Tribolium castaneum: one gene and its partner. The protein of the gene in region 2 purifies or fractionates together with the protein of the main gene of each other region. This does not show direct contact. Links are inferred from orthologs where the notes say so. Each region holds a gene or a part of one and is shown on either strand. Other genes may lie near its edges. The genes, in order: 140up and ECSIT.

Region 1 (3,274 bases), on a different chromosome or scaffold from region 2:
TTGGGTCTCAAGAATTTATTACAGATTTTTTTGTAGAAAATTTAATTTTCTTACATTTTTCTTGCATTTTTAACACTAGGATGCATGACGTTGGTATTTTCTACCCCACTGATTATTCAGTTTTAATTTTTTCTTTTATTTTTACTGACAATTTTATTATGCCTTCTTTGTTATGTTTTTGACAACACAGAGTTGTATTGCAGAAAAATTGTTATTTTTCGAACAAAAAACTTAAAGCAAATAAAATAAAAAACACGATAACCATTACTAGATGTTATTTCTTCATCCGGTTTATACTCGAAGTGCTTTTAGTTTTCTTCATGATCTGTGACAAAGTCCCTAGTTTTAAAAATTTCCATTGTTTTCTTGATCTATTATGAGAAGAGAAAAATCTTTTGAATAAACAATTATTTTAGCAGTATTAATAAAAATTTGATGTTGATAAGTAATTAACGAAGTAGAAACAGAATAGAAAATGTTCAATTTGTTGTTCCGCTCGTAGTATTTTACTCATCTGATAACGGAAAAATTTCAGTTGGAAATTGATTCAGGGTCTGAGTTGACCGAAGAGTTCCTGTACGAGGAGATACACCCAACAAAAAATTTGCACCGTCCGAAATTTGCCAAACCGAAAGGGCCACCAAACCGAGGACCAAAACGAATGACAAAGTCTCAAAACGTGGACAATTGAAACGGCGGTTGTATGCTTTATATAAATTATTTATTCGGTTAACATGCGCTCAACTAGCTTTTTCAAACAAATATTTTTGTATTTGAAGCTCATTGTATAAATCATTAAGTAGTATTAACTATCAGTCGCTTTCGTGTTACATGAATACAGTTATCACAATTACTCGGCCACATTTTCTAATGTTTTTCCCGAATTTCCGACTCTCTTATTGTGGTGCTGGACAACTTCATCTTCTTCCTTGGCAAGGTACTCAGCTATACCCTTATTTGTGTAGTTTTGCCGCTCTCGTTGCCAGTGGTACTGCCAGTACCTGACCTCATCCATCGACATCCCTGTCAAACTTAACAAACCTAAAGTGGCACCGCCTGCTATTAAACCCAACACTGCCCCTGGATCAAAAATAAATTAACCAAGGCTTGGCTAGTTGAGAAAATACCTAATCCGCCCCCGACTACCCAGCCCCTCGGACCCATATTCCACTTATACAAGGTACCACTAAATAACCCCGCAACAACGTATTCCAGAATTCCCGATTTCCCCCGGTATACAGAAATTCCAGTTGAAATTGCCCTAATAAATAACAAGGAAAAATACCAACAACAATCCAATCTTCCTTACGTAAAAGACATCGTGAACGAGGCAAGCCTCCACGACCACATCCAGGCCCCCTTCCCGAAACTTTTCGTAACCGCATCTTGCAATTTTTTCTGCACTGGACAAAATTAATTCGCTTAAAAACAGCCAGAGCCGCCATACCTTGGCCTCGAGATGATCAGTAAAAGCCGTGGCTTGGTTGTTCTTCATAAAATTCACATAGGCCACCCTACTGTGCACAACGCCCCCGTAAATGCCCCCCACGAACAAACTCATGCCCCCGACGTGTAAAACAGTGAGTAATTCCTTGCTGACCTCACCAAAGTCACTACAATTGAACAATTAACTACATGGAGCCCAATGGTTTCGTACCGACTCGGCCTCAAAAACCCGCTTCAGACGGTCCCAACCTGTCTCTTCCGGCAAAGTTGATAAATCAACTTTTTGCTCGGTGGGAGTGTCTTGCCTCAACTTATCATTGTCATTGAGAAAATCAAGCGGCCAAAGAGCACACAACGTTGTGGGCTTTAACACTTTTCGCAACATTTTTCAAAAAAAAATAGGTTAGGTTACATAACCTTCAAATTCCCTACATAAAAAAGGCGTAAACAGGTGCACCAACCTAAAAAAATCGCCATCCCAATCTTGGTTTAAACAAAATTTAAAAATGGTCCAACTTATTTTTGGTTTTGTGCTAAAGATTTAGGATTAACGACGTTTATAGTGTTAATAACCGTTTTTACTTTGTGTTCTACGGATATTATTTATTGTTGATCAATTCAGGAGACGAAGATTTTAAAGAATTTTTAGTTTTTCTCAGGTAAATGCAAATATTTCTATTAGCTGTTTCAGAACTAGGAAAACGATAACGTTTCATTTTCTTTCAAAATTATGTTATAAATTATTCACGCACTTCAAAAAAATAGCTAATGTAATTTATACTTTCAGTGAGAGATCTAATCACCAGAAAATTCAAGTGGAGGGCTCAATAATTATTTATTCAGCTTATAAAAGTATAAACTCCACTTGTAAATAAAATATCCTGCATTGATGGACAGCTTCGTTGCATTAACAAACTCTGGCTTACTAACTGGTGTCTTCCATGTTAATGTAAAGTCGCACGTTTTTGAGAAAAATGTCTTTAATATGGCCACAGTTCGTGTTCTGAACTTGTTCCAAAAAGGCTTCAAGCGGTTGGTAAAAATCCTTGAATACATCACCCCCTAGACGGAACTAAAACTGCGTTTTCAATTACAGATTCCTGTAATCGGTAGTAACAACCTCTTCAAAAGCTCTATAAATTGCTTGAAAAACCGGCTGTTTCTCTGAGTGGAAAAACCCGCGAGAACCATGGACCACAGCCACTCCGAACTTTTCCGCCGGCTTACAAACACTCATGTACATGCAGTGGTCAGGTCGGAAATTAAACCTACACGAATATAAATACAATTTCCCTAAAACGAATCACAATTTTATAAAATCGCACCAAAAATGGTCATATACCAGGGTGGTAGTGGAAAATTATATTGATTATGTCCTGGTCGCCCCACGTTATCTTCAATTTGTATTTTCTATAAATGGGGACTACGTACTCACTCCACTGGAACGCCCTCATTCTGGTCAAATTCATTAACATCACGCCGGAATTTACGCCTGAAATTGGGGATTACAAAGTGCAAAAAAGTCACACAATTGTACCCAATTTTCCGTAAAATGGGTGTTTGGCAAAACGGTTGTACCACCCAACGTTTGGGTCCTCATGTTCTGGGGCCAACGCAGCCATCTGACTAGAATTCATCTTGTGGAAATAGCTCCAAATGTTCTCGACTGGCGTCAAAAACAACGTATCTGTATCCATGTACAATAAGGAATCTACGTCTTTTAAAATATTCTAAAAAATAATTTCATAAAATGTGGAAAATATTGAGTAGAGGACAACAGGTAGAAATAATCTCTGGGCTGCACAAGGCTTAAAAAGCCTCTTCCACT
Region 2 (3,564 bases):
TGATTTTTGTAGTGGTGTTCCAGTCGCTTTTGAGAAAACTATTTTCTTTGAAGACCACATCGACGCCCAGATCTGGATGATTTCTGACCACACCGCGGTAAATCGAGCGCTGACTTTTGATATCTGAAAGGAACAATTTAAACGATTTCCAGGCGCCAAATGGTAAGTACCTCCCAGAGACTTTTTTATTCGTATTTTTAAAGGCGGAACGTTTATTTCCTTGATAATGCCATTAATCTCTGCGATAAGCAAGCAGTGTATTATCACCATGATCAGACTTATGAGCGTTTCCATTACAAAATTTGGCGATGAGTAAATGTGGACGAAAATCGTGTGAGACCACAATTTCGCTGCGGACTCAACTAGCGAATTCATTTTTGAAATTTTGACAAGAAATTTTGAGATTTTTAATTAAAAAAAAAAACGTTCCGTAGCAACGCATTTAACAAATATTTTCACCGGCAATTGTTCCCATTTCTCCAATTAATTAAACGAATCGTTCAAACACCACTCCGCTTTCTGATTGGCTGACCTCTAAAAGACCGCGCGTTTGCACCAATCAGATTCACGCCCCGCCTGACCGATCCTCATTTGTTTGGATGCGTAGTACTTTCGCGCAGTTCACTTGTCTCATTTATCCGTTGGCTTGATATTTGATTTTACGACCTCCGACAAAAACGTGCATTTCCGCTTGATCATTCCTTTGTTTCACCAATTTGTTAACTGAAGATTTGTGAAAGAAAATCTTCTAGCCCGGTTTTTAACCCCCGAAATAATCGTAGTGTGTGGCTTTTGAACCAGTATAAACCGGTAAAAACTAACACCAAATAGGTAAGTAACGTTTTTTCCAATTTTGGTAGTTTTTCATTAAAACTTTCCAGAATGACTTCCACTAATATCTTCACGGGGGTGGGCGGTGGCCGTAACTCCAGCCGGGTCTTGAAGCCTCCAGGTGGAGGACATACGGACGTCCTGGGGCTTTCAGCCCCGCCTGAGAGGCCCCAAGAGAAGAAGATCAATCCGAGGAACATTTCTTCCATTACTGAGGGCACGAATGTGAACATGACTGAAGCAAAACCGGTGCAAAAGACTGAAGAAAAGCCGGTTCAGAGGGCGGAAGAAACCCCCAAAGAACCGGTGAAACAAGCCACTGAGGCCCCAAAGCCTTCCGCACCGGCCAATCAAGAAGCCCCGCCCCCGCCACAAAATAACGGCAACTCGCGCGGGCGGGTGCCCCCAGGGGGCTTCTCTTCCGGCGGTTTTTGGTAAACCATGACTTATGTGCTTATACTTGTGATGCTTTGAATTTTTATGACCACTTATTTGCGAATATGTGCAACAGTATTTATAACAATTAATAAATAGTCTCATTTTGGATAACTCGTGTTTCTTTTCCCGTGATAACACCGATAATAGAATGTTTTGTAACGGCTAGAGTCCGTTAAACCCATTCTATTTTTCAAACGGTTTTCATACGTATTGTTGGTTGTATAAATACAATTTCATAAAAACTCGTATTTTTTATTTACGTTTTAAAGGACGGTCAAAAGGGCACAATTTAACCGAAAGAATTTTACGTATTTCATTTTTAATTGTATTTTAAAATGTGGTGACAACGTAACCTCAAAATTACATAACCTATAAACCCGAAGTCTCGAATTTTATCAAACCGGTGGCAAGTATGCCAATTTTAACGATTAAATAAACGAGTTAAAATGTTCGTGACCAGGCTTGTGCCCCTGATGCGGGGCAACTTGCGCATTGTCCCAAAAGTGGGCCCCCTTGCGCGAACATTTAGCGATTCGTCCGAGCCCAAGCAACTGGTGACCTACCGCTCGTTTGAAGAAATCGAAACAAAGAACAAGAACACATACTTGGACATGATCCACATTTTCGTCAACCGAGACAGTGTCCACCGGCGGGGCCACGTTGAATTTATCTACTCTGCGCTAAAAAACATGGAAAGTTTTGGGGTCCACAAGGACCTTGAAGTGTACAAAGCCCTAATAGACGTCCTGCCGAAAGGCAAATTCATTCCGAGGAACATGTTTCAAGTCGAGTTCATGCACTACCCCAAGCAGCAGCAGTGCATTATCGACTTACTCGAACAAATGGAAGACAACGCTGTGATGCCCGACTACGACATGGAGGAGCTTTTGAAAAATATTTTCGGAAATCGGGGATTCCCCTTGCGCAAATATTGGCGGATGATGTACTGGATGCCCAAATTTAAAAACGCGTCGCCTTGGCCCATCCCGAACCCGCTCCCTGACGGCGTGTACGAGCTGGCAAAGTGCGCAATTGAGCGGATCAGCAGTGTGGACATCCAGACACAAGTTACGACGTATCAGAGTAAAGACATCGAGGATTGTGTGGACGATACGTGGATTATTAGCGCGCAAGCCCCCATCCAGAAGGACCTGTTGAAGAGACACGACGTGACGGAGCCTTTGTACGTCGAGGGGCCCTTTCGCGTCTGGCTGAAGCACCAACAAGTGACTTACTTCACCTTGCGCAAAAACGCCAAATTCGTAGCTCCAATCAAAGAGGATCTAGATGATGTCAGTGACATTAAAATCCCCTTTTTCAACATCAAGCCACCCGTGAAAAATCTGACAGTGGTACCAAGTGTCCATGAGCAAGAAGATGGTACTATTCTGGCACTATGTGCTACTGGGACCTCCAGTAAAGACTCACTAGTTTCGTGGATTCGGCATTTGGAAAAGGATAATCCGGTGTTGGCCGAAGTTCCGGTAGTTTTTACGCTTCGGAGCGGAACTAAAGAAATTGTCACAGTTGGCGATGATAGGAAACAAATTGAAAATAAATGAATTAGTTAGTTATTAATTTTTATTTCTTATTCTCTTGGAGGATAATTCATTGGAGTCCCTGGCGATTGATACAACGGCCGACTTTGAGCCGTATAAAGTGACGCGGGGGCTGATTGTTGGTATTGTTGTTGGCTCCTGACGGGGTACCCCGCTGTGATGCTCCCAGTCTTGGGCTGCGCGGGGCTCAAGGGTATGGAGCCCCCATGAATGACGTGTCCGTGCGAACTCGGTACTCTTAGAGTGTAATGTTCGGGTAATTTCTGCTCCAAGTGGTACGTTTGGGGCCGTGGGGGCTCGTAGGCGCTCCTAGAGGGTGGGGGCTCCCGCGACGAGATGGACCCCAAAGGATAATACATCGAAATATCCTGCGGAGAGACCGAATAAAACGTTGCTTGCTGACTCGGATATTGCGTCTCTGAAATTATCGACGAAATTACAACACTGAAAAGTGATAATTAAATGGAAAAAGCATGAATGGGTGGTGATAAATGAAGCCACAACTTTCTCGACTAATGAAGGAAGCTTCCCTTCACCCAGAAAAAATTAAGTGGTGCCTGAGTGAAAAGAACCTCTTCATTATGAATGAAGCTAAAGTGGTGTAGAAACACTCACTGTTCCATAAAACTGCCCTCACTAACTCATTACGTCTACCATCATCTTCTGCAAACAAAATCGGTTAAAACCTAGCTAGAACATTACCACGAAACAGTGAATAATTACTTTGGGGCGAGTT

The links.
Region 1: the proteins of ECSIT (region 2) and 140up purify together in Homo sapiens (affinity purification with mass spectrometry; 3 studies listed by BioGRID and IntAct, counting the BioPlex papers as one, with this or other methods). This does not show direct contact. The link is inferred for Tribolium castaneum from reciprocal best matches to the Homo sapiens genes ECSIT and TIMMDC1.

What each region holds. Positions count from the first base shown.
Region 1 is NC_087395.1:15,888,445-15,891,718, reverse strand, and holds 140up (RPII140-upstream gene protein), read right to left. Parts: upstream 1,897-3,274; 5' UTR 1,832-1,896; coding exon 1,662-1,831; intron 1,614-1,661; coding exon 1,448-1,613; intron 1,399-1,447; coding exon 1,310-1,398; intron 1,262-1,309; coding exon 1,128-1,261; intron 1,081-1,127; coding exon 851-1,080; 3' UTR 700-850; downstream 1-699. Other genes in the region: twf (twinfilin), read left to right, coding at 536-691; glucoside xylosyltransferase 2, read right to left, coding at 2,372-2,518, 2,567-2,739, 2,789-2,938, 2,984-3,176, 3,225-3,274.
Region 2 is NC_087396.1:20,767,955-20,771,518, forward strand, and holds ECSIT (evolutionarily conserved signaling intermediate in Toll pathway, mitochondrial), read left to right. Parts: upstream 1-1,562; 5' UTR 1,563-1,715; coding exon 1,716-2,831; 3' UTR 2,832-2,843; downstream 2,844-3,564. Other genes in the region: jupiter microtubule associated homolog 1, read left to right, coding at 883-1,269; G protein pathway suppressor 2, read right to left, coding at 2,858-3,246, 3,444-3,491, 3,552-3,564.